Alligator mississippiensis: one gene and its partners. The protein of the gene in region 4 interacts with the protein of the main gene of each other region in a biochemical or structural test. Links are inferred from orthologs where the notes say so. Each region holds a gene or a part of one and is shown on either strand. Other genes may lie near its edges.

Region 1 (7,921 bases), on a different chromosome or scaffold from region 4:
CCCTGCCCTCCGGCGTGTCCACTTCTTCCCACAGTTTTGTGTCATCCACAAACTTGGGCAGAGTACACTTCACTCCCTCATCCAAGTCGCTGATGAAGACATTGAAGAGTATCGGTCCAAGGACCGAGCCCTGCGGGACCCCACTGCCCACACCCTTCCAGGTCGATACTGACCCATCCACTACGACTCTCTGGGTGCGACCCTCTAGCCAATTCGCCACCCACCGGACCGTGTAGTCATCCAAGTCACAGCCTCTTAACTTGTTCACCAGTATGGTGTGGGATACCGTATCGAAGGCCTTCCTGAAGTCTATGTAAACAACGTCAACCCCTACTCCTGTGTCCAGGTGTTTTGTAACCTGGTCATAAAAAGTGACTAGATTAGTCAGGCATGATCTACCTGCTACGAACCCATGCTGGTTTCCCCTCAGCATAATTTTTCCTGCCAGGCTCTCGCAAATGTAAGCCATGATAATTTTTTCAAAGACTGTACCAAGGATGGAGGTGAGACTGACTGGCCTGTAGTTGTCTGGGTCCTCCTTCCTCCCCTTCTTGAAAATGGGGACCACATTGGCCCTTTTCCAGTCCTCTGGGACCTGGCCCGTGTGCCACGAGCATTCAAATATTCCTGCCAGTGGCTGTGCAGTGACGTCAGCCAGTGCCTTCAGTACCCTCGGATGGAGCTCATCCAGGCCTGCTGACTTAAACGCATCCAGTTCCTCCAAGTGACTCTGCACCATCTCAGGGTCTACGCTTGGTAGTTTGGCACCTCTCTACCATCCCAGTGTGAGACTTGTCTTGCCCCTCGCTTAGGAACACTGAGACAAAGAGCTCATTGAGGAATTCAGCCTTGTCCCCCCTGTCCGTCACCAATTGCTTATGCCCATCTAGTAGAGGTCCTATTCCACCCTGGGCCTTCCTTCTACTCCCTATATATCTAAAAAACAATTTTTTATTATCCTTTACTTGGGATGCTATCCTCAGCTCCATGGTAGCTTTGGCCTTTCTAACTGCCTCCCTACAAGCGCGAGCAGAGGAGGTATACTCCTCTTTAGTAATCTCTCCCCGTTTCTACTTTTTATATGCCCCGCTTTTTGCCCGTAGGCTGCTCTGGATATCTCTGGTTAGCCAAGGAAGCCTCTTGGCCCCTTTCCCCCTTTTCCTCCACATCAGGATCATCTCCCTCTGTGCCCGAAGGATCATTTCCTTAAGGCACAGCCACCCTTCCTGGGCTCCCATCTCTTCAAAACTCTTACTCTGCAGTGCGTCCTTGACTAATCGCCTGAGTTCGTTGAAATCAGCTTTCCTAAAGTCTAGCACTTTCACCCTACTAGTTACCTTACCCACTCGATGTCTTATGGTGAATTCTATTATTTGGTGGTCACTGTCCCCCAGGTGACCACTGATCTGTAGGTCTCCTACCATGTCATCCCCCGTTGCCAATACCAGGTCCAGTAAGGCATTCCCCCTAGTGGGACCATATACCTCCTGCGTCAGATGGAGGTCCTGTACACAGGATAGGAACCTGCGTGAATGGTCGGACTTTGCTGTCTGCATCTCCCAGCAGATGTCTGGGTAGTTTAAGTCCCCCATGACTACCGCCTCCCTAGTTTTTATGGTCTCTGAGAGCTGCCTCAGGAGCCCTGAATCTAGTTCTTCACCTTGGTGTGGGGGTCTGTAGCAGACCCCTACCACCAAGTCCCTTTCTCCTTGACCTCCATGTAACCTAACCAACAATTCTTCTACTTTCTCCTCCTCTGATTCAGTTTTGATAAGGGTCGATGTATATCGGTCATTGACATAGAGCACCACCCCTCCCCCTCCCTTCCCCACTCTATCCTTTCTGTACAGCTTATATCCCTCAATGTGTACCGCCCAGTAGTGGGACGAATCCCACCAGGTTTCTGTTAGCCCTACTAAGTCATAGGTGTTTTCTGCAAGCAGGAGTGCTAGTTCATCCTGCTTGCTCCCCATGCTCCTAGCATTAGTGTATAGGCACTTGAGCCCTGTGACTGGTGCCTTTATTGCCCCCCGGCTCTGATACCCAAAGGGCCCCTTATTGCTTACCTGTGCTGTATTGCTGGCCGCCCCATGGATTGCAGGTTCCTGATGTTCTCCTTCTTCAGGCTGGACTGTTCTTGTGGGTGCCACATGGTTTGGTGGTCCACGGCTTCCCCCGCACTCATCTTCCCCTCCCCCCGACGAGCCTAGTTTAAAGCCCACCGGAGGAGATCCGCCAACCTAGAAGAGAACACATGCTTACCTTTGGGGGACAGGTGAAGCCCATCTCAACTGAGCATGTCTCTCATCATGATGTGCGGAGCAAGCCCCAAGCACTCAGCAGAGACCGGCTCTTGTATCGGCTCCTAGAGTTAGGCTCAGGAAGCAAATCTAGGAAAGCAAAATCTAGGAAAGCACATTTCCAAACTGAGGAGTAAGGAGCCAAGTACGGAGCCACAGACCCTGTCTTGCTTTCCCCCCCTCAGTGCCCTAGACCAGACTTCTGCCATCCCCCTAGCCCACCAGATCTGACTCCGTGGGTCTGTGAGAGCACGTGTGGCTGCTCTGGGGTTTGTATGAAAAGAAAGGGCTTGCTGGCAATTGCCACCTGCCTGTTTGCTTAGCAGTCTCCTCAGGCTGAGGAGGCACAGCCTGAGTGCAAGGAGAGAAGATAAACAGAGTTTGCCCTAGGTCCATGTGAGCAGGAGAGAGTGAGAGCAAACAGGCTGAAGGGCCATTTAAGGCAAAACTGCTTGTCCAAGGCTCAGGAACAGCACAGAGCAAACTGTTGATTAATGCTGGTGACAGAGCCAGCGCCTGGCTCCAATGTCAGCCTTATTTCTACCTCCTCATCCTGGCTGGCTAGCTCACCGGGCCTGCTGGTGAAACCCCTCAGGAGCCAGCTCAGCACCCCACAGGGGTACAGGAGGGACGGTCCAGCGGGGAGGGTGTGAGATGGGGCTCATCTCCTTGCCACCAACTTCCCATCTGTCTTTTCCACATTCTCCAAAGCACCCCAAAAAGTGCTGAGCCCCAACCCCTCTATTCTCAATGGGGCCAAGCCCCTTCCAAAGGGGAGGGGGCTTCTTTTTATCATATACATATATCTCTATATGTACATGTACGTATATAGCTATATACAGAGAGAGAGAAAGGGATGTATAGGTGTATAAAGATAGATATATATGTGCATAGCGATATCTCTATAGATAGACATATATCTCTATACACATATATATCTATAAATCTATACACATATGCATCTCTATATATCTATATACGTATAGATATATCTCTAGATGTAGCTGTATCTATACTGAGAATATATCTATATAGAGATATTAGATATATAGATCTATACATATATATATATATAGAGAGAGAGAGAGAGAGAGAGAGAGATTTGGTCCCTCAAGGCTCTGTCCTTGGACCTATATTATTCAACATCTTCATTAACAATGTGGACACTGGAGTCAGAAGCGGACTGGCCAAGTTTGCCGATGAGTCCAAACTCTGGGGTAAAGCATCCACACCTGAGGACAGGAGGGGGATCCAGGCTGACCTTGACAGGCTCAGTAAATGGGCAGATGAGAACCTGATGGTGTTTAACACCGAAAATGCAAGGTTCTCCACCTTGGGAGGAAAAACCCGCAGCATCCCTATATGCTCAGCAGTGCTACGCTGACTAGCACTACAGATGAAAGGGACTTGGGTGTCACGATTGACCACAAGATGAACATGAGCCTGCAATGCAATGCTGCGGCTAGTAAAGCGAGCAAAATGCTGGCTTGCATCCATAGATGCTTCTTGAGCAAATCCCGGGACGTCGTTCTCCTGTTGTACTCAGCCTTGGTGAGGCCGCAGCTGGAGTACTGCGTCCAGTTTTGGGCTCCACAATTCAAAAAGGATGTGGAGAAGCTTGAGAGAGTCCAGAGGACAGCCACGCGCATGATCAGACCTTGTGACAACAGGCTTGAGAACCTGGAAAAGCGCAGGCTCAGGGGTGATCTGGTGGCCACCTATAAGTTTATCAGGGGTGACCACCAGTATCTGGGGGAAGGTTTGTTCATCAGAGTGCTCCAAGTGATGACAAGGTCAAATGGTTATAAACTCCTGCAAGACTGTTTCAGGCTGGACATAAGGAAGAACTTCTTTACTGTCCGAGCCCCCAAGGTCTGGAACAGCCTGCCGCCGGAGGTGATTCAGCCACCTACATTGAACGCCTTCAAGAGACATTTGGATGTTTATCTTGCTGGGATCCTGTGACCCCAGCTGACTTCCTGCCCTTCGGGCGGGGGGCTGGACTCGATGATCTTCCAAGGTTCCTTCCAGCCCGAATGTCTATGAAATCTATGAAATCTCTGTATCTGTATAGATACATATAGATCTATACATGTAGATCTATATAGAGATTTATATCTATGTAGAGAGATACATGGATATATAGATCTATACATATAGATCTATATAGAGAGATTTATATCTGTGTAGATACATGGATATATAGATCTATGCATATAGATATATATAGAGAGATTTATATCTGTGTAGATACATGGATATATAGATCTATGCATATAGATATATATAGAGAGATTTATATCTGTGTAGAGAGATACATGGATATATAGATCTATATATATAGACATACATAAAGAGAGATATATATCTATATGTAGAGAGATATATAGATATCTCTCTATATCGATATTTCTCTATACATATAGATATACAAATACAGATCTATCTACATCCATATATTTATCTCTCTCTCTAGATATACACACATCTACACAGATCTATAGATCTATATCCAGCCACACACACGCAGTGGGCGGGGCCTCAGGAAGGGGGCGTGCCTTCCCCTGCCGCGCTCCCGTGGTGCCCCGCGCTCAGGGCGGGCCGGAAGTGCGTGTGGTTCCGGGTCGGAGGGCGCGGGCGGGCGGACGGACGGTCGGGTGCTGTAGCCGCCGCCGCCATGGCCGTGCCGGGGAGCTGCCTCCCGGGGCAGACGCCGAGCCGGGACATCCCCGCGCCCTCCGGCGCCCCGCGGCTCCCTCCCGGCAACTACAGCAGCACGCCCGGCGGCACCGTGTTCGGCACCACGCCCGGCGGTGAGCGCCGCGCCGCGCCGCCCTCCGCCCCACACGTGTCCCCCCCGGGCGGGCGGGCGGGCGGGCCAGCTCGGGCCTGGGCAGGGCAGCCGTGAGCACGGCTGGCGGAGTGTTTCTCAGTCCCCGTCCCGTGGGCTTGGCAGAGCGGGGGGACGGGGGCGGCGCATCCAAATGGCTGTAACAATAAGTCGGTGCCCGCGCCGCAACGCTCTGCGCTGTGCTGCGGCGACACGGCACGCGTGACTGGTGCCTCCCGTGGGGCACCCCCGGGCGGAGGGGCCCAAGTGTAGCGGGGGCACAAGCACTCTCCATGCCCCCCCCCCCCCGACTAGCCGGAGCGCTCGCTGTCAGAGGGGCCATGTGTCCCCTTCCCCCCCCACCCCGACGTGACACGGGCTCCGGTTGCTCTAAGTAGAGTTGGTCCCGGGGCTGCTGTGAGCATTGGGGCACCTTATGCTGTAATAACTGGGTTGGAGTCGTAGACAGCGAGGGCGGAAGGGACCTCAAGGGGTCACCTCTAGGCCACCCCCCTGCTCCAAGCAGGACCAGCCCCAGCTACATCATCCCAGCCAGGGCTAAAAAAACTTGCACAGATGGTGACTCCGCCACCTCTCTGGGTAACGTGGTCCAGGGCTTCGCCACCCTCTTAGTGAGATTTTTTCCCCCCTAATATCCAACTTCGGCGTCCCTTGCTGCAACTCGAGCCCGCTGCTCCTTGTTCTGTCATCCGCCCCCACTGAAAGCAGCCCGGCTCCAAGGCTAGTTGAGCTGCTTTGGTGATTCTTTGGGCAGAGCGACCTGCTGGCACCCGTCTCTTTTGCAGGTACGGGTGGCTGTCGGCTCACAGGGGGCTCATCCACCCTTTTTAACAGCTCTTGTTTCAAGTCCTGCTGGGTGTCCGTACATCTTCCTCACCTGGGCCGGTCACCAGTGGCCCCACCATGGAACAGGCTGTGCTGGTTTACATGGTACCAGACAGCAGAGGAAGAGAGGCCTGGCCTGATGGGAATTTCACATTATTACAGCTGTTTGGACACATTGTCCCTTTCCCTCTGCTTTGCCACGCTGTTGAGAGAGCGTAAATGCTGTGCAGCGTAGCTACCGATGGAACACGCTGTAAGTGAGAATGCTGGCTGATGGGAAGTTGCTAATTCAGCAAGGGATCAAAGACAATCAGGGAATTAAACTGCTGAAAGGAGTAGTGATTCAAAAACACTGAAGTAGCGGGGCAGTGGGGCACTGACTTCCCTTTTTTAAGCGATGGTCTGGGAAGGTGAGCATATGAAAATACACCTGCAGTTCTTTTTTTATGAGAAAGTATATAGAGAATTAAAACACTTTGTCACGTATTAATGTGCTTGGCTGCTTGTTGCCCTCCCTTTTATTGTGGCCGGTGGCTGCCACGTGTATTTTCTCATGCCTGCTACTCTGGCATTAGAAATGCTTGGGATTTTGGCATTTCTCTGCTTAGTTCATTGGCAGCTGAGTCTAAAATATACGTTTTCAAAGTATCACCAGAAATGAACCAGGCTGCAGGCTGGGCTGAATGGAATGAATGCTATTAGAGCCCTTGATGCAGTGGAGTCTCGCTGACCTTCCTTGTGCTAATCCGGAAACCTGCTGGTTCTTGCTAAATGCTGCCTTGCCACGCTGTGTCATGAGCTTTCTGTGATGGCGAGTGTGCTAGTTCACTATCTGGTTTTCAGCATCGCTTGTTTGTTTGGCTTGATAAACCCTTGTTCTTTTGAAAGCATGTAACACACTGTTCCAGTCCCCTGGCCAAGGCGCTGAAGTACTGTGAGCAGTAAATTATGTTGCTCTTGTCAAAATAAAGGGCCCACTGAAATTTGCCATGCAAAACCCTTGAATAATGTGCATAGGCAGCTCTTGTGCACCTCAGCTTCCCTGGTAGCTCCACTGATTTCAGTGGCACTGGGTACTGAAATGTGACATTTTGGGTTTATTGCTAGATGCTGAAATATACTGAAGCCCTCCTTGGACAGTGAGCACATTTAGTCTGGGGCAGAGGGAGCTTGGAATGTTTTCTGGTGCTTTGGGAGTTTCTTTTCCCTGGATTTACAACAGTTTTACCTGCTTCTGTTCTGCGTGGTTCTGATAAGTTAGGCAGTTCAGCGTGCTTTGTTCCCCTGCTGTTTCACTTGCAGGGGAACAAATAATAGTAGAATGCAGGCAAAGGCCAAGGGCATGCCTGTGAATCATCTCAGGATGGTAGTGGAACGGAGTTGCTCAGGCAGTCATATGACAGTTAGATGCGTTTTGTTTTCTTGGAAAAAATCTGTCACCCTCATTCTGTAGCAGTGTCGACATGAGGAGTGGGGGTGTTGGTTGGTTGTGATTGAAGCAGTTCTTTAAAGCCGTAGGCTAGGGAAGGCTTGTGGGTGTCAGCACCTGCAGGCTCTGGGGAGGAAGCCTGAAATGAAGGCTGAAGATGGGAATGGTGAAGTATGCTTGTTCAGGTGCTGGATATTGCAGGGTTGTTTTTTACTGCCCTCCTTCCCCAACTCCAGTTTTAGGGAGACTCACCTGCATTCGACTTAAAAGATGAGCGTTTTATTGATGAACTAGCCCCAAGGTGACTCCCAAAGAGCTGTATCCCAGAGCTGCACTGCTTGTGCCCCTTGCACATGATATTGGCTGTAGCTTGCTGCCCTGGGTGAGGTCTGGGGAGCCCTTTCCTGCCCTGCAGCATTCAGGCACAGGCTGGGGGCCGCTAGACATGCCGAAGGATTCAAAGGCATCTTCTCAGCACTGTTAGCTTATCCTCCTGGCTCTGTGAGCCCCTTGGAG
Region 2 (7,159 bases), on a different chromosome or scaffold from region 4:
GCCTTGGGGGAGTGAGTTTAGGTGTCCTATAAATCCTTGTGGGGAGTTGTATCCCATAATGCTCTGGGTATGGTCCAGGTATCCCACAGTACACTAGCACAAAATATCTAGGTATCCCAATCTTGCCCTACCAAGATGCTAATATCCCATAATATTGTGTGGGTGTCATGTGCCATAATGGCATGGGGTGGGGCAGGAGTCACATAATGCCCTGGGAGATGGTGTGGGGTAGGTATCCCACACTTCCTTGGGGATGGGGGAAGGATAGGTGTTCCCATAAGGCCCTGGAGGGTACTAGTGTATCCCACCATGGCATAGTAGAGATTTAGGTATGCTATTATGACCTGGGGCAGGTATTTAGGTATTTTCAACCTTTTTTTAATAAGTGTACCCCCAGCGGCCAGATGCAGGGAGGTGGGGGGGGGGGCGCATGGCATACAGCTGGGTGCAGAGCAGCAACAATGCAGGGTGGTGGGTAGTAGTGGCCACTGCATGCAAGCTTCCCCCCCGCCCCGTATCCGGCCAGCTGGGGAGTGCCTGTACAGCCTGCAGAGGGGTGCCACTACCCTTGCCTCCACTCTCCGCCCCAGCTCTGCTTTTTGCAGGGTGGCGGTGCTTCGTCCTCTTGCCCTCATGTACCCCCTAGGGCCTTCCCAAGTACCCCTGGCAGTATGCGTACCCCCAGATGACAACCTTGTAGCCTTCTATGACCAGGTCACACTGCCTGGACGCGGGAGCTGAGGCTGATGTCATCTTCCTGGACTTTAGGAAGGCCTTCGACACAGTTTCGCACCCTATCCTCATTGGGAAGCTAGCAGACTGTGGAGTGGATGCCTACATGGTCAGGTGGGTGGCCAACTGGCTTAGGGACCGCACCCAGAGAGTGGTGGTGGATGATTCCTTCTTGGCCTGGAGGGAGGAGGGCAGTGGGGTCCCGCAGGGTTTGGTCCTCGGACCGATATTACTCAATATCTTCATCAGCAATTTGGACGAGGGCGTGGAGAGCACCCTCTCCAAGTTTGCTGATGATACCAAGTTATGGGGCAAAGTTAGTACACTGGAGGGCAGGGAGCAGATTCAGGCTGACCTGGACAGGTTGGATCAATGGGCAGAGAGAAATAGGATGCAGTTTAATAAAGATAAATGTAAGGTACTCCACCTGGGAAGGAGGAACCCCCAGCACACCTATAGGTTGGGGAGTGTCCTTCTCAGCAGCTCGGAGGCAGAGAGGGATCTTGGAGTCATAATTGACTCCAAGATGAACATGAGCCAGCAGTGTAACAAGGCCAATCGCACTTTGTTGTGCATTAGCAGGTGCATGACTAATAGAACAAAGGCGGTGATGCTCCCCCTCTATGTGGCACTGGTCAGGCCGCAGTTGGAGTACTGTGTCCAGTTTTGAGCCCTGCACTTCAAGAGGGATGTGGGGAATCTCGAGGGGGTCCAGAGGAGGGCCACTCGCATGATTAGTGGCCTTTGTGATTAGACCCTACAGGGGGAGGTTGAGAGAGCTGAATCTCTTCAGCCTTCACAAGAGACAGCTGAGGGGAGATCTTGTGGACACCTATAAATTTATTAGGGGAGGTCAACAGGGAATAGGAGAAGTGCTGTTTACTAAGGCGCCCCAGGGAGTGACTAGGAATAATGGGTGTAAAGTAGTTGAGAGTGGATTTAGGTTAGATATTAGGAAGAAATGTTTCACAGTAAGGGTGGCCAGGATCTGGAATGGGCTTCCAAGAGAGGTGGTGCTATCACCTAGCTTGGAGGTCCTCAAGAGGAGGCTAGATAGTCACCTGGCTGGGGTCATCTGACCTTGGTCCTCTTTCCTGCCAGGGGCAGGGGGTCAGACACGATGATCCATTGTGGTCCCTTCCGACTCCTACAATCTATGAATCTATGAAACCCTTGCCATGGGGGGTGGGGGGAGGAACAGGTCCCATAGTGCCCTGGCATTTGTACCTGTGCCTGGTTGTAGGTGGCAGTGGCCTGGGCCCAGGCGCACTGACACACATTTTCCAGCTCCTCCAGTTCCAGTGCTTGCAGCCCTAGCACCACCTGTTGCTGCTGCTCCAGTGCCTCTGGGGGTGGGGTTGGGGGGGGGCATTACTGGGAGAGAACCCAGGTATTCAGGCTCCCAGCCCTTCTTGCTTTTACCCCCCTAAGCCCCATTCCCCTCTCAGAGAACTGAGGAGTCTGGGCTCAAAGCCCCCACTTCCCTCCCAGAGAACCCAGGTGCCCAGGCTCCGAGCCCCAATGGAACCTTGGCACGTAGACTCCAAGCTTACCCCCCATTCCAATCCCCCACCACTACAGAACCCAGAGGTCCAGGCTCCCACTGCTCAAGCCCACCAACAGCACTCTCCCTTCCCAGAGAACCTAGGCATCTAGTTCCTACCAATCACCGATGGAGTCCCTCTCGGCCTGGGCCTGGTTCTGGGCCTCACACTGCTGGTCCAGCACCTGGTGCTGCTCATTCTGTTGCTCCTGGCGCCGCACTACCACCTCTGGGTCCTCACCCTTGAAGCACTGAAGCCTGGCAGGGCCAGGGGGGCCCTGATCCTCCAGCTCTGCGGCCTGATCCTGGGCCTGCTGCTGGGCCCAGGTGGCCTCCAGGGCCCGTCAAAGCCCCCATGCCTGTTCTTGCTTCTTGGCCTCCAGTATCTGGGCCACCTGGGCACCCTGCAGGTGCACTACATCTGGGGGAGAAGGGGTCAGAAATCTCTGCTCCAAGGGAACCTTGGAATCCGGGTGTCCCTGGGGCCTGAATTTTTTTTTCCAGGCTCACCAAATGCCTCCTCCCGGCATTTCTCAGTCTCCTCTCGCAGCTTCCGCTCAGCCACTTGGCATTGAAGGGCTTCCATGTCTACCTAGATGAGGGAGAGAGGCAACGGCAAGATGGGTCCTGGATGCCTGAGCTCCCTTGGCTCTGATCCACCAGACCGTATCCCTCCACCAGACAACCCAGGTGACTGGGCTTTCAGGCCCTCCTGCCGCCCCGCTCTCACCTTCGCAGCCCCCACACTCGCCTCCTGGAGTCCCCTGGTGTCTGGGATCTCAAGCCCCACTTCTCTCACCCCCTCAGCCCCCACTCCCCTCCCAGGGCACCCAGGTGTCTGGGCTCCAAGCTCTTTTGCTCTACCCCAACAGACTCCATTCCCCTCTCAGGGAACTTAAGTATCTGAGCTCCCAGTCCCTCCCTGGTCCAACCCCCCCTAGCCTCTACTGTCCTCCTGGAACAGGGAGGGAACCCAGGGATCTTGACTTATTCCCATGCGGCAATAGCGAGGGTTGAAGATCTGTGTCTGACGCTGACGCTCCTTCTCCCTCTGGGCCTCCAGCACTGCCCCCACCTTGTGGGGCAGGTCTGCCTTGTACATCCTGGGGGAGGGGGTGGAAGTGTCAGTACCAATGGGAGAGAACCCAGCACCTCCTGCTCATCCACCAGCCCCATTCCCCTCCCAGAGAACACAGGTGTCCAGGCTCCTACACATTGGCCTCCCTCTACCCTCTCAGAGCCAGGAAAGAACCCAGGCACCTGGGTTCATGACCTAACTGTCCTTCCCTGATCTTTTGACCCCTTCCACTCACCCTTACTTGCCCCCAAACAAAATTCCCTTTGCTTCCTGACCTTTGACTTTTGACCCCAGCCTGTCCCCAGTCTCCTCTGCCCTTTGACTCCCAATTTACGTTGGTCCCTCTTGACTTCTGACCCCTGTCTTCACCCGTATTTTTGACCCCTGTGCTCTCTGACTGAACCCTCCTTGCCCTGCTCCGCTTTGTCTCCGAGGCCTTCTGTTTAAGATCCTCGTCTCCATGGTAACAGGCCAACCCATTTCACCTCAATCTCCCCTTCCCATTGGTACAGCCCAACCGCAGTTTTATGCAAATAGCGGGTTCCCCGCGGGCCAATTAGGAACGAGAGTTTGGGAAGAGTTTATTTGCTTGTTATGCAAATAAACATCCCTATTAAGTAGAAGGGCGGGAGCCCGAATGCAAATAAGGCCCGGCGCCTCGCGGGCTAATAAGGAGGAAGAAGCGGCCAGCTATGCAAAACGACCCCGGGAGCGCCGACCAATCTGAGGAAGCCTTGGAAAGAAGCCCTGCCCTTTTATCTTGGACTAGTTCCTCGCGAAGGCCGGTGCTCTCGCGAGATTTCCTTATCTTGGCGGCAGCGGCGGGCCAGAAAACAGTGAGGGGGTAGGGCTGTGAGTCGGTGCTCCGGCGGGTCTCAGTAGGGCCGGACGGGACGGGACGGGACGATCCGGTCCGGTGTCTCGCCACCATGGGATTCCTCAAGCTGATCGAGATCGAGAACTTTAAGTCCTACAAAGGGCGGCAAATCATCGGGCCTTTCCGCCGCTTCACAGCCATCATCGGGCCCAACGGCTCCGGTACGCGGGGCCTGCTGGAGGACCTCCCCTACTCTAGTGGGCAGCTGGGTGTTACGGCCCAAGGGGGACGTTTAGCTTAGCGGCGGGCGGCTGGAATGTACCACTGAGACCCCTGTAGGGTGAGGGGCTGAGGGGGGTGGTATAGTCCGGAGGGAAACTTTCGTTTGGTGGCAGACGGGTGGGATGTTCCATTGAGACGCGGTGGAAGGGTCCACGGATGAGTGGGTAGGCGGGGGGATAGGTCACCCTTGGCTTGGCGGTGGGCAGTTGGAATGTTCCACTGAGACCCCTGTGACGCACGCTGGAAGGGCCCTTGAAACTCTCCTCTATGCTGGTGGAAGGGTACAAAAGCATTTCTTCTCCCCCCCCCCATATTGCGGCACTAGGTGCCATAGGGGACTTTCCCCACATAGGAATGCTATTGCCCACAGAACTCCCCCCACCCATGACATGGATGGTACAGTCCATTGGCACCCCTCTCCCCCCATCCCACATTAAAATTGAACAGACTGTGGCTCCTGGGGAAGGGTATGGCTCAGGAACCCCCTGTGATGCATCTCCCATCCCACAATGCATTGTGCCTGCCACCACCCCCTGCAACAGGGGTCTTTCCCCCACAGGGATCCTCCGACAATGCATTGTTTATGCCAATCTTCCTGCTATCCCATGAGGCCTTGCCCTGTTGACATACCTTCCCACAATGTATTGCTCATGCCAACCCCTTCTTGCTGTCCTGTAAGACTTTGTCTCTCTGATCCCTTTTGCTGTCTCACAATGCATTGCTTATGCCAACTCCACCACTGTCCCATAAGGCCTTGCCACTTGATTTGCGTTATTTCCACAGTGCATTGTGTGTACTGATCCTTCCACTATCCCACAATGCATTGCTCATGCAATTCTTTCCCACTATCCTATAATGCATTGCTCATGCCAACCCCTGAACTCTCATGAGCCCTTCCTTGCACCAATCTCCTATCCCAAAATGCCTTCTCCACACTGAAATCGTATCACTCAACATACTTCATGTGCCAAACACTACTTCACTATTCTATAATGCCTTGCTCTGACTGCCCCATCCCTGCTATCCCATAGTGTATTGCTTATGCTACCCTTCCTAGTATCTCATGATGTCTTGCCTGCATCAGTCCCCTGCTATCCCACAATGCCTTGCCCACACTGAGGCTGCACCCCACAGTACACTGCACCTACCAATCCTCCTACTATCCCACAATACCTTGCCTGCGCTGACCTCCCTTCTGTCGCACAATACCTTGCTGGTTCTGCAGGGAAGTCAAACTTGATGGATGCCATCAGCTTCGTGCTGGGTGAGAAGACAAGCAACCTGCGGGTGAAGACTCTGCGGGACCTAATCCATGGGGCACCAGTAGGGAAGCCGGCTGCCAGCCGCGCCTATGTCAGCATGGTGTACGCGGAGGATGGCGCTGAGGATCGCACCTTTGCACGTGTCATCGTTGGTCAGCTTAGGGGTGGAGCTTGGGGATGGCACAGTGGGGAAGGGGTAGGGCTTGAGAGCAGGGGGAGGAGCATAGTGGGGAAGGGGTGGGGCTTGGACATAGTGCAGGGCTTGGGAGAAAGGGGAGGGGTTGAGGGTGGAGCTTGATAGGGTAGGGCAGAGTGCGCTTCTGGGCTGGAGCAGAGGAGGGTGGAGAATGGGTGTGGCTTGGTTAGGGGGCAGGGCTTGGAAAGGGCAGGGCTTGTGGGTAGGGGTGCAATGTGGGATAGTGGGAGGGTGTAGTTTGGGGCTGGATATGGGGCTTGAGGAAGGGATGGTGCTTGTCAAACTGAGGGAAAGGGTTGGGCTTTAGAGAAGGAGGAAGCTTGTGGGCAGGGGAGGGGCCAAGTGGCAAGGCTTGGGCAATGGTCAGACCAGGGGAAGGAGCTTGGGGGAGGGGAAGGGTTGGAGGGTTGACACTGAGGTTGGGAGGATGCAGACTCCATTCCCTCCCCGTGCTGGCCTTGACCCCCACCTCTCCAACTCATTAGGCAGCTCCTCAGAGTACAAGATCAACAACCGGGTGGTGCAGTTGAGTGAATATAGTGAGGAGCTAGAGAAGCTGGGCATCCTCATCAAGGCGCGCAACTTCCTTGTCTTTCAGGTGGGGGTGCTGCCTACCTGGGATGGGGCAGAGGAGGAGGAGGGTTATGGGGCTCCATTGTGCAAGGGGTGGAGCTGGGAGGGAGGGGGAGGGGTATGGGACTTGTGGTGTGAGGAGTCTTGGGTGTATGGGGGAAAGGGGGGCCCAATCCTGGCTGGGGCTTGGGGGGCATCTTGGGCCTGATCATGGGGGTTGGGAGGTGTATTCTGGCCCCAATCCTGCTGGAGGGTAGGGTCTTTCAGGGCTAAATCCTAGGATCTGTGGAGGGGGGAGGTTCTGGCCTTAATCCTGGGTTTTTTGGGGTGGTTCTGGGCCCTATCCTTACTGGAGGGGCAAACTGGTGGTATGCTGGTGCTGATCTTGTCTGGGAGGGTCCTCGGTGTGATACTTCAGTTTGAGGAGGTCCTGTCCGTGATCTTGGGGATTGGGAAGAGGATCCTGGGCCTGGGAAGAGGTGGGATCCTGGGGCCTGGTAATGATGCCCTGACCTTGTCTTCCATTGGCCCGGGTGGCAGGGGGCAGTGGAGTCGATTGCCATGAAGAACCCCAAGGAGCGCACAGCACTCTTTGAGGAGATCAGCCGGGCTGGGGAGCTGGCTCCTGAGTATGACAAGCGCAAGAAGGAGATGGTGAAGGCTGAAGAGGACACAC
Region 3 (7,993 bases), on a different chromosome or scaffold from region 4:
AGCCCTGGTTCCCAAGTTATTATAGGGCCTAGCTGTGACGGAGCACAGGGTGTGCCTGTCACCCACAGGGGTTTGAGCAAACAGCCCGCAGGTGGGAGTAGGCCCAAGCAGGTGGTCACATGTCAGACAGAAGGCTGCCTGATTGGTGGAGAGCCTGGGTATAAGGCAAGGCCCCAGAGCAATACAAGCAATTGCTGCAGGGGCTGAAGGAGCAATGTCACCCAGCCAGCTTCTGTTCCTGGAACAGCTTGGAGGTACAGAGCAGGGACTAGGGATGGAGGAGGTTCCTAGAGCTTAAAACTATGCCCTGCTGAGGAGGATGGTGCAGTGGGGCAACTTCTAAGAATTGCCACACTTGTGCCTCCCCAGTGAAGCGCGAGTATGAGGTGCCAGAAAGCCTCAGCCCCTGCTGCCGTGTGGGTGACCCTGTGGAGGGAAAAGGCTAGGGGAGCACACCCCAACAGAAATGTGCAGGGCCAAGGCCCACTGTGTGGAGCCTGAGGTGGGGTCCAGGCCATGAGAAGGGGGCCTGGATGCAGCCTAGGTACACTAAGTGAGGCCTGAGGCTCACTAAGGAGCCGGGTGTTGAGGCTCCGGGGGCCCAGGGAGTGAGGGCTGCAAGGTGGAGGCCCAGGGATTTCTAGACCGGGTGACGCCAGGTGGTACAGCTCAGCAAGGGAGTCAGGAGCATTTGTGAATGTCAGCTACGAGGCATGGGATACAAGGGAAGGCTCAAAGCTGTGTATGCGCCCTTGGCAATGAAATGGGTAGCCTCCCACCTGGGAAAAACAAAGACATCAAAAGTGCGGCAGGGGAGGCAGGTGGGTGGACTGCCCAGGACAAGTGAGCGGGCCAATGTTTACACGCCCTGGACTGGCCCACTTATTACACTGCCACAACGCCAGCCCTAGCCCCTTTGTTATGATAGGACCTTCAAGAAGTACCAGCCTCAGCCCCGCCCACAGCCATCGTCTTATTGTAGGGCCTACAACCATCTCCCTTCCTCCCCCCCCACACACACACCAGGGAGCTCCCTGTTGTTACAGGCCCTACCAAAGCCTCCAAAGCCCCCTTGTTGTTATAGGTCCTACCAGAATGCACCCAGCTCCTTGTATAGGCCCTACCAACCCACCCACCCAGCCCTTGTTGTTATGGACTCCACCACCACCCCTGCCAGCCCTCCTCCTACAGGCCCTACTAAAATCCCCCCCCATCCCTCATGTTATAATGGACTCTATCAAACCTCCCCACAGCTCCCTTGTTGTTTATAGGGCCTACAGTAACCCCCACCACCATCCACTTTGTTACTGTAGACCCTAGAAAAACCTGCCACTCACCTCCACGCCATCTTTTTTTCTTCACCTCTGACTCCTGAGCCAACTGGGCCCCAGCACCCATCCTACGCCTGCATGGGGTTGGTGTCTCCTCCACGGTCAGACAGTGCAGGGGGGAGGCTGCAGATTCCCCAGGGGGCAGCAGGAAGTACTGGCAGCCCACGTCGCCAAACAGCAGGGTGTCGCCATGGGCCAGAGCGTAGCGGACGTGGGGCTGGAGCACGGCACGGCCGCGCCGCGTGCGATTGAGACTGCCACGGTCCCAGAGCAGGTGTGGGTATCCAGGCCCAGGCCTTGGTGCTTCAATCACTGCATGCAGCTTGGACACGGAGGGCACCGGCAGGTGCACGGGGCAGCTGGGGAGACGTCCGACCACGTTCTCACCAGGGTAGATCCAGATGTCTGCGAGTGAAGGGAAAGCCCAGGTGTCTGGGAAGGGTCCAGACTCCCACCCCTGCCAGTGCATACACACATGCACGTGTATGCACACTCAACCCAAGCATCTGGGATGCTCACTTGCACAGATGGACACTCCCGCAGCCCTCACAACACAGACTCTTTTCCAGAGAACCTAAGTGTCCGGGTTGCCAAACCCCTTGGTCTAGCTGACCAGGCCCCAACTCTCCTCCCAGTGCTGGGAGAGGACCCAGGCTCCCAACCCCCTTCTACTGCCCAACCACACATACGTGTGCATGCGTGTGCACCACTCCTCTCCCATAAAACGCAGGCATCTCAGCTCCCAGCCCCTCCCTGGTCTAATCCACCTGCCCCCGCTCCTCTCCCAGAGGATCCAGCCCCCCTCCTCTCCCCTCCCAGGGAACCCAGCCGTTCGGCAGGCTCTCCCCTGGGGACATGAGCCCCACATCTGGCCCCAGCTGGAATGGGCTTGAACCCCAGGAAATAATGCCTTTGTCATGAATCACCCTGGACACCAGCTTCCTCAGGCAGTGGGGTTACCCCCAGGTGCCGGGTTCCTCGTATAGCGGGGTCCCCACCCCTGGCACCAGTCCAAAACCGTGTCCAGTTGTGGCCCCCCACTCCAGCAAGGATGTGGACAAGCTGGAGAGAGTCCAGCGGAGGCCGATGAAAACGGCTGGGAGGCTGGGGCGCACAGCCTGCGAGGAGAGGCGGAGGGAACTGGGCTCATTGAGTCTAGAGGAGAAAAGACCAAGGGGGGGGATTTGACAGCAGCCCTCAACTCCCTGCAGGGGGGCTGCAAGGAGGGTGGAGCCGGCTGGTGCTCAGTGGGGGCAGACGACAGGACAAGGAGCGAGGGGCTCCAGGTGCAGCAAGGGGTCCTGGGGACGAGGCGGTGGAGTCTCCATCCCTGGAGATGTTTAAGACCCGGCTGAGACGGTCTAGTTGGGGCTGGTCCTGCTGGGAGCAGGGGCTGGGCTGGACTGGACTGGACTGGGCGTCCCTTCCCGCCCCCGCACGCCTGCGCCCAACGGACATCGGGGCTCCTACCTCTCTCCGGGCCGTGGCGGCCCCCCAGCACCCGCAGCCTCCCCACGGGGCGCCCGGGGTCCGCGGGGGCCTCGTCCTCCTGCTCCTCCTCCCACTGCAGCAGCTGCGTCTGCTCCATGGCCCGGGCCGTGCCGTGCCCTGAGCCCCCGCCACCTCGCCCCGCCCCTGACCTTTGACCCAATCCCTAGTTCGGGGGCGTGGCCCTCGATCCCCCCCCGTTCCCGCCCCCTGGTGGGAGCCGGGACTCGCCGCCCACCCCTGCCAGGGCCCCGCGCCCGGGCGCTGGAGCCACGGAGCCCGGACGTGGCTGCCTAGAGAGGCTCCATGGGACCATAGAGAGGCGGGCTGCGATGAGCTAGAGTGCCTAGCTCTCTGCGGTCCTCCACAACATGGAGGCCAGTGTGCAGCATAGAGTGCGGAGATAGCGGGCTAGAATGTCCACACGGGGTCCTCCCCAACATGGCGCCCTAGCACTCCTACCACACCAGTGACCATAAAGATACCTCATGCAGCACGCCCAGGGACATTAAGCACAAGGGTGGGCGGGTAGAGTGACTGCCTTCGCCTGCCACAAAATGGCCGCCGCCTGGCCATAGAGAGGGAAAGCTAGAATATACACATTTGGTCCTCCAGAGTGTCTTTTTCCTCATTATCCCCACATTCATTAATGAGAATGACCTCACTTTGCACCATTTTTAGCCACTGAGGAAGCCTGGGCCTCTGAGCAGCACCTGGGCCGAGCCCGACCCCACTGGAGCTGCCCCAGAGGCCCTGTTACTGTGAAGGGGCATCTGGCATTGCCAGGCAACAGTCTGGTTACTAGGGCTGCCCTGGGTACCATGAAGGGGCATCTCAGGGACATCTGGTGTTGCCAAGCAACAGGCTGCTAACTAGGGCTGCCCTGTGTATCCTGTGTTGTGTCCCAGTGTTGCTAGGAGACACGAGGGTCATTCCAGTGTTGCTAGGCAGCCTACTGGCCAGGGGCTGCCCCCAACCATCCAGGCCTGGGGCCACGGCTGCTTCCAGCTCACCTACCAGCCCCCCATGCTCACCAGGGGACACCCCCCCACCCCCCCAGAGAACCCAGGTGTCAATCGCAGGGCGGGCAGGGCCAAGAGCCGGGGGGTTGGGAGCCCGGACACCTGGGCCCTTTGTGGGCTGGGGGAGTTGTGGGGCAGGCGGAGCTGAGAGCATGGACTCGGGGTCCTCAGCAGGGGAAGAGGGAGCTAAGGGGGTGCGGGGTAACAGCCCAGAGGGATGCCTGGGATCTCTGGGCGGGGGTGGGGGCTGGGGAACGAGAGCAGGGGGAAGCTGGGAGCCCGGTAGGGTGGCCAACATAGAGGACAGTCCGGGTGTCCTCTATTGATACACAACCGGACGCCTTCTTATCCTATATTTTTGTCTTGAAGAAAACCAGAATGTCCTCTATGATGGCCCCGAGAGCTGGGACACTTGGGTGTCTCCCTCCCCCCCTCCCTCAAGGGTGGCTCTGGCCCTACCTCTGCCTCACCCGGGGCTTCTCTCCCTTTCCAGATGAGCCGGAGGGAGCCCTTCTGCCCACGTGTCTGGGACGCAGGCATCCAGTACCCAGGTATTCGGGACAGACGGAAGGAAACGCAGAAGCCCGCGGTTCAGGGTACCCAGGTAGGCGCCTACTCAGAACCCAGGTGTCCGGGAGAACAGCCCCCCCTCCCCCCGCACAGATCCTGTGTCCAACACTGCCCCCTTCCAGGTGCCCAGGACCCAGATGTCCAGGCCACCAGCCCCCCACTGCTCCCTTCCCCCTGAGAAACCAGGTGTCTGGGATTTCACCGCCCCCTGCTCCCACCTACCCCTCACAGAGAACCCAAGCATCTGGACCCTCCCAGAGAGCCCAGGTGTCCAGGGCCCGTGGGTGCACACTCCCTCCCTGGAACCTGTGTCTGGGGCCCACCCAAGTGTCTGCCATGCACTCCCAAATGGCTTTTGATACCGTCCCCCTCCCTCCAAGGTATCCAGGGCCTGCACACAGAGGACCCAAGTATCCAGTACACACAGACAGACAGATTCAGGGAGCCCAGATGTCCAATGTGGGCAAGTAACCATGCAGACTTCTCAAATGCAAGACCCATACAGAGAACCCATGTTTCCAGGATTCCCACCCCCAGTGGACTGAGGCCACAACAGAACCTACTTTAAAAAAATTTCCTGTTTTTATGCTTTCACAAGATGCCATCTTTTCAATATGAGAAAAGCTGTTAGGGGAAAAAAATAAAACAGAGCAGAGCAGACAGAAGGAGAAAGAAAGACAGGATGGGCATGGAGGCTGTCAGCTTTGTGCTAGTGCCAGGGGTGGGGGAACCCACAGGGTGTGGTCACGGCACCATGGCCACTGCTTCCCTGGCTTCCCCAATCTCTTCCTCCAGGGCCAAGCTGGTCTGTTGAGTTCATCAGGGCTGAGAAGTTGCCTGGAACAGGGCTGTCTGGAGCCTGGAAGCTGGGTTGTGGGATGGCAGGGCCTGGCCCAACTCTTCCACGGTGCCACTAGACACTGGTGGCATTTCCTAGGCTTCCCCCTGTAACCAGATCACAGCCTTTTCCTTTCCCCCCCTGGACCTTCCATTGGGGGTGAACAAGGGAAGAAGACCCCAGCCCCACTCTACCCCCTCTCCTCAAAGTTGTTGGCCAGAGAAGAAGTCTTTGGAGACCCTCAATACCCCATGGCTCTTCTCTTTCTCTCCAAGGAAACAGAGCTGACTGGGTTGGCCTAGGAGCACCCGTCTTTTTTTGCTTGGTTTGCTCTCAGTAGCCTGAAGATGGTCTTTGTCTTCTCCCCTGGGTACATTTTTCACTGTAGGGCAAGGTTTGGGGGACTAAAAGCCAACTCAAAACGCAAGGGGAGGCACCTGCATGGTAGAGCAAGGTGCTGGACCCCACAAAATAAATAGATACAGACTCCCCAGGGAAGCTACTACCCCAGCAGAAGCCACTCTGGTTACATGGGCACCAAGGAATTGGGCTCTCCAAGGAGAAAGAGGGAAGATAGGCCCTCTGACAGCTTCATCATCATCTCCATTTTGGGTGGGGAAAGAGCAGTTCATTCCCTAGGTCAGGCAACAAGGAATTCTTCCAAGACTTTGAGTGCTTTCCAAGGTACCCTTGCCAACCAGCTGGGCAGACCTGAAGGAAACCTCTCCAGAAGAAGCCAACTGAGAAGTAACTCATCAGTACCATCCACCTTAACATGGAGGTGGGTCTTCAAAGGTGGGGAGACTTTCTCTAGTCCTGCCAGGACTGTTTCAACCCTTCCACTGTGGTTCATTTGAGTCTCGTCAGGGCAGTGCCTGTGAAGGAAGAAAATGGAGTCCACACATCCCCATGCCCTTCTCCCAGCCTACTTTTCTCACACCCAGAAGACCTTTTGTTTCTCCAGCTTGGGGCCCTTCCTTGAAAAGCCTCCCCACCCCCTCTAGCTAGAACCAATATTTGGCCTTGAAGAAGAGTTCCCCAATGGAGAACCAACATTGGGACATTTAGGAACTTCCTCAGATAAAACTGTACTCAACTCTCCATTTCTCCAAACGAAAGAAGAGAAGATCACCACTCTAGGCACCAGGCACACAACTCTACTTTTTCTAGTTTTTAACGTACTCAACCTTTTTTCATCTTGGTGCCTGCCCTGGGCCCAAGGCAGTCCGGGGCTGGTGTGGGGCTAGGGGTGGCTGTTTATCAGGGGCCACCGGTGCTGGGCAATGACCCCGGGCATGGGGGAAGGGGCAGCTGCACGGGCGCAATGGGCCCCAAGCCCAGGCCCAGCTCTGCTCTGTCCCAATGCCTGCCTGGTCCCAGCCCCAGCCCCAGCCACCCCATCCACATGCTTTCCCCTCCCCCCACAGACTTTCCCGTGGGCACATGCAGCTCCCCCCACAAAATTCTTTTTCTCCCTTTGTGTGTACATGCGTGTCTGTGTCCAGCCAATCTCACTGACAGTGGGTTGTCCCACCAACCGATCACTGTGGCCCCTTCCATAACTGGCTGTGGCCACTTCTGGGAGCACCACCACAGCACTCCCCACCCCAGCTGGCGCTTACAGCGGGGGCACCAACGCTCCTGTCTGCCCCCCCTGCCCATCGCCTAAGTGGCAAGCATGGATGGTCAGGGGGTGCACTTTTGCTCTCAGGGAGTGCATGTGCACCCCCATGCACTCCCTAGGAGTCACCACTATGTGCATGCATGCACGTGCATACCTGTGTGTGCGTGCGTCTATTCATGGCAGGAGATAGCGTGTTTGTTTCTGTGTGTCAATGTGCAGAGAGTAAGTGACAGTAGTATGCGCCTCTGTGTGTGTGTGTGTGTGTGTGTGTGTGCGCGCGCGCGTGTGCATGTTTCGCCATAGTGGAACAGGGGAGCAGGGAGAAGAGGGGAGCATGTACCCCCCCACCCCCAGCCCTCCCTGCCAGCACCAGGAGGGGAAGGGACGATGCTTCGCCCTCACCTGACCTCCACCCTGTCATTCTTGGTGAGCAATTGGCTAGTATACCAATAACAGCCGAGAGGCATTGGGCGTGGTAAAAGGACAATTCGGAGCCACGCAATTAACCCATAAGGCTTTAAGTGCCCTGCCAGGCACAGTTGATTGCAGGGGCCTAGCCAAGGGCCTGAGAATATAAAGGCCCAGCCACAGGTTTGAGGCCAGTACGACCGGGGGCGTGCAATGGTCCATGGCCAGCCTCCCTTTATATTTATTTATAATCCGTAAAGGTGTGGCAGGAAAGATAGGGGGCATGCCCTAGAAGTCAAACAGGGCATGGTCACAGAGCCACCAGGGGGCATCACAGCCACCCCTGGTTCCCTGACCTGCTACACTATAATAGGGCTGGGGGGGACGGGGGTAGAGTCTGTAATAACAAGGAGCTGGGCTGGAGGTTTGGTGGGGCCTATATAAGCAGCTGGGTGAATTCTGATAGGACCTATAACAACAAGGGGGCTTAGGCAGCTTTGGAAGGGCCTGTAACCAGGGGGCTGTGTGCTGGCAGGGGGAGGTTAGGGCCTATCAGAACAAGGAGGTTCAGGGGCAGGGCTGAGTAGGCTCTACAAAAAGGAGGGGTGTGGGGGTGGGGCTGGGGCTTCTTGTAGGTCCTATAATAACAATATGGGCCAGGGCTGGGGTCATGGCAGGAACTTGGGGTTTTGGTAGTGTAGCAAGTGGGCCA
Region 4 (7,530 bases):
TGAGCTACTGTGCCGTAGTGTCACAAGGCACGAACTGTGATGGCAAAGCTACTGTACACTAGCTTGTTACTTCTGTGCAGTAGTATCTAAAAATAACCATGTGGCGACGGGACTGCGCAATAACGCTGATCACTGCACAGTCATTTAGTACTTGGTTAAGCAAGTACTAAATGACTGAGCAGTAACAACTGCGCAGTTGGCTACTCATGTAGATGTGGCCACTGAGAATCAAGAGTTGTCACCCATTCTATAGTTTGCCTAGAACCCCCATGGGATTCCCAAAGCTTTCTTCCTACAAGGTGCAAGTCAGTTGAGGAGAGTCCATACAAGCAGATACATCATTCTGTAATTACAGCAAACAGATTTCTTCCCCTTGCCCATATTCATTTCAAGTGCATCTTCTAAATTTTGAGACAAGCCTCCTATCCCAAATTCAACAGAAAAATCGGTTATGTTCTCAATCAAGAGCTTGCAGCAGGGATGTCATCTTGATCAGGTATCTAACCAGGTACAAGTGATTTAACTGTCTGAATAACTATAGTACTTAACTCCTGGAAATATGTATCAAAGGCAATATTCCTTGCTTACAATAACAAAACATGTAACTGTACATTATGAATACCGCTCACTTATTTTATTCTTAGATTTGTAAAACTGTCAGTGTCTGGGTCAATGTCCAATGTTTGTTATATTAAGAATGTAGGAAAAAACAGCTGTTCATATACAACCCCTTATGCAGGGTACCAAAAAAAAGTTACTCGGTCGTACTGTTTAAATGTCTTGAACACTGCAGATGTTACAACCATTCTGAAAGCATAGAAGTCTGTGCAAACTTAAATAAATTATTTTAGAAGTACATATTTTGGAATGTACTAGGGTTCAACTCTATCTCACGTGCTTCAAATATAAACTTACCAATAAACAAGCTGGAACAGACCCATCCTCTGTACAGTGCTCTGCATATTCTTTTAAATCTGAGCTTTCCAATATAAACTCACGACAGGTAGCTGAAAGTTTTTCTTGTTGTAAATATCCTGCAGTAAATAAGACAAAGGTATGTGATTTGATTCACTTTTTTACAAGGTACACTTGATAGGTGTCAATGCACTGATACAATTATGTAGCATAATACAGTAAGCTTACTGTGCAATCATCTAAGCACTCAAGTGACAAATACTCAAGAAAACACGAGTTGTGTTATGTTTTGAAAGAATAGCTACCTTTCTACACATCTCTCCAGTAGATAATGTCACACAGCTTTACTGACACCATGCTACATGTACATAAATAACTCTTCAGCTAAGAAATGATTGTTAAATGAAACCATTTGTGTGCACAGTACCCTACAGGCAAAAAATAGAGGTCTTGCCTCAAGTGACTAAGTCAAATGTGAGCTGAATATTCCAGTTTTAAAATAAAAATGGTACTCTGCAGTAAACTTTAAAAGACATTGCCATACAATAAGCAAGTGTTTTTGTGCACGTTTTGAAGTTCCAAACCCGGAAAACAAATGCAATATAAAAATATTTTACATGATTTCTTTCTCCCAAAAGATGACATTATAGATATTTATAGACATGGGAAAAGCAACACATGTCCATGCTATAACTTTGCTTTTAGTTGGTGAATCAGCTATACTTTAGGTACTCCTACAACTCGGGCTCTCTCACCAGCCTTAATATGATATATACAGAAAAACTCCTTCCACCTTCCAAAAAGTCTCAAACCAATGATATTTTAATATTTTATATTAACATTCAAGTAACTCAGGTACCAAACAGAAAGGAAAAAAACTATCTGAATGAATGATTCTAGACCACTGAGCCATAAAAGTTAGTATGGCATGTTGTTTATTTTATGCTGAAGATGGTTGGCCCCTGGTGATTTGGCCACTCTGGCTTTAAATGTCTCTTATGGGATTCAACTACCAAACATGTTAACTCCAAATTATCACGTAGAAAATAGTATTCTTTGAACTGACAAAGAGATAGGACCAAAAACTTTTTCCACCGTGTCCACAATAGTGTTCAGTATCTGATGCACAATGAAAGCTAAAAAAAACCCCAAAAAACTCTATTAACTGTTCAATGCTGTGCATTACAGAAGTTTAAGTTACACATGTCCCAAAAGTGATTAACTGGTATGTAACATATTACAATCATTTTTTAAGTTTTGCAAATGTGTTCTGTGGGTCAAAGGAAGTAGAACCATATCTTACATCTCTGACTTACAACAGTTAAGGATATATATGCTATGCACATAGACAAATTACAAAATCAAGCACCAAGAAGTTAGGAAATGCCAAAGCTAATGTTGCCTGTAAAATATGACTTTGATCCCTCGTGTGCATGCATTATGCATTCCTATTTCATTCCATGATCAGAAAATATTTTTCTATAGACCCCTGTATTTCACACAGAATGACCAACACTCTGCGTTTGCAGCTATTCTGTGTTTTTGTTTCCTTATCGTGCAATGCCCTGTGCCTTACTTACTGAATCCAAAAGCAGTCGTAAGGGGCAATAATTTATTTGCAATAGTGCTGGGGTGATTTTGTAGCTGTGATGGCCCAGGAAAAATGTGAGAAGCAAAGATTTTTGTGGGTGGTATCTTTTATTGGACCAACTGTATAGTTGGAAGGGATATGGAGGAGATTTAGGAACCGCAGCACCCTTTGTTGTCAGGTCTTCCTCAGCTACCACCCACAAAAATCCTAATTTTCTTGCAGAATTTTCTCCAGTGCTTTTGCTGTTTCATTTTAGTTTTTCTACAAATATTAATAAGTTTATTTTCACAGCATCACAGGGTAGCAGCCAGGTAGCAATGAGATGCTAAATGAGCAGAGATTCTTGAGATCAGATTAATAGTTTGTAAGTTTTATTTTTTAATATAACCAAAGCAATAGATTTCCCCACCTAACTCAGCTCTCTGAAACAGCTCCAGCATTTCAAACAGGACTTTAGAAATGATCCAGCTGGAGGCAAATGCACCTTTCGGAAAAACTGAGCCTATTTGGCCAAGCCATGAGCAACAGAAGATAAGATCTAGTACAACTTTAATTAAGTCTCATTACACGCACTGCTTACAATGCCTCCATAGGTTTGAAGCCTATGACTTTTCAATTCCTGGCCTCTCATTCTTGTATTGAAAAAGTTAAAGGGCTCTGTCAGAAATGCAGCAATCCCCCAAAATAACCGTTTTAAAGTGACCGCCTTCTACTGTTATGCTAACCCACAAGCGGGCATCCAGGCTATAGCCATATTGGTATAGAGGAAAAAGCAATCAGAGCTCATGGTAGAGGTGATATCTTTTAGTCCAACAAGATTTTTGCAAAACCTGACACACGAAAGTTATCAAATTTTAGCCGATTTTGAAATTAAATCTTCATATTTTCCCCAAAGAGGAAGCAACTGTGACCACCTGAAACACTGCTCTTGCTTTTGCTCAAGCTAATTTGCATCATCACAGAGCCTCACAAAAGAGGGCAGAGACTCTTAGCCAGCTAAGACCTGCCTGCCCAGAGGAGTTTTTCATCTATGGACTCCTCTGTGATCTGTGAAATCCTATGAAATACGAACTTTCATTCCTATCCAAAAGAACTTTTACAATCTTTTCTCCAATGCCTGATGAAAGGTGTTTGTGCCCAAAAGCTTGCAATGAAAGAATTTTTTTTTTGCAAAATTCTTGTTGGTCTAATAAAAGGTATCACCTCTACCACAAGCCCTGAACCTCACAATCATGTTTTTCGAAGGTGCAGGCTCCCAGCCCGTGGTAGGAGGAGGCTCTCTCAAGCTGGTCTTCCAGTTCACAGGAAAACGCACAATTGGCCTGGCAGCCAGAGCAATGCTGGGGGGGGGGGGAGAGAAGAGCAGATTTCTTGGGGGAGGGACGATCATTCATTGGACCAACTGCAAGGTGGAGACAGAGCCAGAAAGGCTGTGGGGGTCGGCAGCCTCAATCATGTCACTTGCCGCTCGAGGAAGCGGCTTTGCCCTGTGCTTGGCCGGCTCTGTCCCAGCGGCGCAGCCAGAGTGCTGCACCCCTCCCCCCCGCGTCGCCTCCTGGCGGCCCGCGCACCAGCGGCTCGTTTCCTTCGCCCCCTTTATTCTCCTCAGACTCCAGGAGACAACGCGGGCGGGTCCCGACGCCGCACAGCCCCCCGGGCAGCGCCGGGTTCCCCACAGGGCCAAAGCACCGCGAGGCCTCAGGGAGCCGGGGCGGGGCGGGTCTCTGGGTTGAGGCCAGGCCGCGGAGGCAGACACAGGCCGCGCTGAGGGAGTCTCGCCGCACTCACCCAGCACCAGGCGGGCCACGTCGGACGGCAGCAGCATGGCCCCAGCGGGCGGCGGCACTCGCAGCTCGGCCGCCCCGCGCACCACACGCAGAGCGCGGAAACGCCACCCGCGCAACCCGCCCCGCCCCTTCCGCCGGAAGCCGCAGTTGCACAACCGCTTCCGGCACTACCCCTCCCTCCCTGCTGGCGCTGGTGCTGCGAGGCAGGCGTAGTGCGCATGCGGGTGGGGCTGCCGCGGTAACGGCCCGCGGCGGCGCGTGGCAGCGGTGGGGCCGGACTAAGGCTGCGCTCGTACGGCCGGGCCGCTCATCAGTGCGGGGAGGCCTCCGCGCTCCCCACGGCTGCACGGCGCCGCGGCTTGACGGCTTGAGCGGGTGCGAGGCCGGGGAGGGTTTGATGAGCTGGTTTGGCGGGTGCGTTAGCGGTTCTTTCTGGCAGCGGCTCGGACTTCGTGTAAGTCGAGCCAGGGAGGCCGCCTGTGGCACGTGCGTGCGGCCCTGGCGGAGCGGGCACAGGGCTCAGGCAGCGCAGGAGGAGGCAGGGTAGGGAGCAGAAAGCAGAGCAGAAGATGGGGCGGGGGCACGCAGGGAAGGAGGCAGAAAGCAGAGCAGCAGGTCGGGTGGGGAGCAAAGAGCAGAAAGAGCAGCCAGCTAATTCTCCGGGGAGGGTGTTGTGCTGAGGGGAGGGTGTGGTGTTCGTTTGTCACTTCTGCCAGAAATCTCGCCCCCCCTCCCCCCCCATGAAGGGCATTGACAGGTAAATTCTGCCAGTTAAAGAGGTGTTTCTAAATTTGGCTTCTTGACAACAGTGTTTTTAAGCTGGACACAAATATTTACATGATTTTGAAAACTTTCCAATAATAATCATTGTTTTCGGCTTTCTCCAGAACCTTGAACAAAAATGGACAAGGGGCAGATGTGAAACCGGACTAGTTCTTTTTTAGGCTAGGGACAGACATTACACTTAAACTGGTTTAAGTGATCAGAAACTGGTTTAAACCTATAACAGAACAGACGTTCAGGGCACATAAACCAGTTTGAGAAAAACCTGGTTGAGTGTAGTATCAGACTTAACTGATTTGGCTCAAACCAGTTTGTCTGTCTGTTTAATCTCAAAGGTTTACAAAAAAATAACTATCAGCACAAAATGAGGGAAAACGCAGATTTTACATCATTATTTTATTTATCTTTTTGCTCAATGGTCTGAGGTGATACATGTGACAACAAATGTGCTTATGCTTACAATCTGTTACTTAAGTTGGCCAGGAGGATAAATGATCTGGGAGCACGAATGACGTTCTGGTTGATCCTCTCTTTGTAAGGCAAGCAGGGGCCATCATGCCCTGGAAGTGCATGTGGCTGGGACCGGGGTGTTGATGTGAAGCCTTTGGATTCTTTGACAGCAGGCAGATGTTCTGGGAGAGGGCCTGCTATCAAGAGATGGGATCCACCTGACCAGAACTGGAAAGAGCATCTTTGGACATGGTCTGGCCAATCTAGTAAGGAGGGCTTTAAGCTAGGTTCAGCGGGGATGGTGAACAAAAAAGCCACATAGTGCAGAGGGGAAGACACTAGTGAGTCACAGGACAGCAACAAGTGGTGCAGAAGGGAAGTGAATAGGTCAGAATACAAAATACATTTGATGTGTGGATGCAAATGCAAAAAGTATAGGGAAGAAACAAGAAGAGCTGGAGACTGCAGCCTGTGAAAAGAACTATGACCTGATTGGTATCACAGAGCCCTGGCAGGACACCTCTTATTACTGGGATGTCAACACTGAGGGGGTTACCCTTTGTTTTGAAATGATGGGGTTGGGGAAAAAAGGTAGTGGTATTGCCTTCTATGTCAAAAACATACGCTTGTTGCTGGACTCAGTAGGAAGAAGATAGCGGAGCAGAATGGATTTGCGTGAAGAGGAAAGGTGAAAGATGCAGCACTGATATAATGGTGTGGATCTATTGTAGGCCACAAAATCAGGAAGAGAAGGTGTCTCCAAAAGCTATGGGATAGGAAACTTAATTTTTCGACATCTGCTGAAAGAACAATACAGCCAAACACAAAATGTCGAGCCAATTCCTAACTTGTGTGGAAGACAACTTTCTGTTCCAGAAAGTAGAGGATACAACTAGGGGCTCATCTGTCTTGGATCTTGTCTTGACCAACGGGAAATAACAGGTGGAGGATGTGAAAGGTGATGGGCAACTTGGGAGGAAGTGATCACAATCTGATATAATTCTAGGTCCTGAGATGAGGAAAGCATGGCATCAGCAAAAGTAGGATGCTAGATTTCAAACAGGTGTATTTCACCCAGCTCGGGGAGCAAATAGGCATGGTTCCTTGGAAAGATAGCCTGAAGAAGAAAGGCACCCAGGAGGGCTGAGAGCTTCTAAAGTGCACAGCATTGGAAACCCCCAAAAAACTGTTCTGACATGATGAAAGCGCAAGAAAAATGACAAGAGACCAATGTGACAGCACAAGGAGATTCTAGGATGCATCCAGTGCAAAAGGAAAGCGTACAGGCTATGGAAAACTAGACAGGTCACCTAAAAAGCTTACTGGGAAGTAGTAAGAACCTACAGGGACAGAATCAGGTAGGCAAAGATAAAGCATGAGCTGCACCTGGTGAGGGAGATGAAAAACAACAAAAAGGTTCTATAAGTATTTGGGCTATAAAAGAAAGATCAAGAAAGCTGTAGGCCTACTGTTAAGTAACAGGGAGGGGGGCACTCTAATCAGAAGATGTAAAGAAGGTGGAGCTACTCAATGCTTCTTTGCTTTAGATGTCATAAAAACATTTAAGCTGGAGCCAGACACCTAATAAAGAGTATTGGGTCTGAATGAATTCAACTCTGTAGAGTCTGATAAACATCATCCCAGGGTATGAAAGGAATTGACAGAGGAGATTTTGGTCCCCTTAGCAATAATATTTATAAAGTTAGGGGTGGTGGGCGAGGTAACAGAGGACCGGAAAAAAGACAAAAAAGAGGGCCTGAGAAACTACAGTGTACTTAGTCTCGCCTCAATACCTGGGAAGTTACTGGAACATATCCTAAGGAAGTCCACTGGCAGGCGTCTAGAGGAGAAAAGGTTGATCACAAGCAGTCAGCGTGGATTTACTTGATCTCTTCCTTTGACAGTGTAACTCTGTGGGTGGATGACGGGAATGCTGTTGATATAGTGAACTTCAGCAGTGCTTTTGACCAGGTCCTGTATGACCTTCTCATAAACAAATTGGAG

The links.
Region 1: of the proteins of ATM (region 4) and EIF4EBP1, one has a biochemical effect on the other in vitro, tested with the Homo sapiens proteins (2 studies listed by BioGRID, with this or other methods). The link is inferred for Alligator mississippiensis from reciprocal best matches to the Homo sapiens genes ATM and EIF4EBP1.
Region 2: the proteins of ATM (region 4) and SMC1A form a complex in vitro, tested with the Homo sapiens proteins (2 studies listed by BioGRID and IntAct, with this or other methods). The link is inferred for Alligator mississippiensis from reciprocal best matches to the Homo sapiens genes ATM and SMC1A.
Region 3: the proteins of ATM (region 4) and mediator of DNA damage checkpoint protein 1-like form a complex in vitro, tested with the Homo sapiens proteins (2 studies listed by BioGRID, with this or other methods). The link is inferred for Alligator mississippiensis from reciprocal best matches to the Homo sapiens genes ATM and MDC1.

The regions. Positions count from the first base shown.
Region 1 is NC_081830.1:18,437,601-18,445,521, forward strand, and holds the start of EIF4EBP1 (eukaryotic translation initiation factor 4E-binding protein 1), read left to right. Parts: upstream 1-4,921; 5' UTR 4,922-4,977; coding exon 4,978-5,113; intron 5,114-7,921. UniProt on the Homo sapiens protein: Repressor of translation initiation that regulates EIF4E activity by preventing its assembly into the eIF4F complex: hypophosphorylated form competes with EIF4G1/EIF4G3 and strongly binds to EIF4E, leading to repress translation.
Region 2 is NC_081831.1:28,313,699-28,320,857, reverse strand, and holds the start of SMC1A (structural maintenance of chromosomes protein 1A), read left to right. Parts: upstream 1-4,142; 5' UTR 4,143-4,282; coding exon 4,283-4,391; intron 4,392-5,677; coding exon 5,678-5,866; intron 5,867-6,395; coding exon 6,396-6,508; intron 6,509-7,023; coding exon 7,024-7,159. UniProt on the Homo sapiens protein: Involved in chromosome cohesion during cell cycle and in DNA repair. Central component of cohesin complex. The cohesin complex is required for the cohesion of sister chromatids after DNA replication.
Region 3 is NC_081834.1:57,359,363-57,367,355, forward strand, and holds the start of mediator of DNA damage checkpoint protein 1-like, read right to left. Parts: upstream 3,004-7,993; 5' UTR 2,920-3,003; coding exon 2,802-2,919; intron 1,737-2,801; coding exon 1,338-1,736; intron 1-1,337. UniProt on the Homo sapiens protein: Histone reader protein required for checkpoint-mediated cell cycle arrest in response to DNA damage within both the S phase and G2/M phases of the cell cycle.
Region 4 is NC_081824.1:436,970,260-436,977,789, reverse strand, and holds the start of ATM (serine-protein kinase ATM), read left to right. Parts: upstream 1-4,515; 5' UTR 4,516-4,707; exon of another isoform or gene 4,708-4,747; intron 4,748-7,530. Other genes in the region: protein NPAT, read right to left, coding at 916-1,034, 4,295-4,331.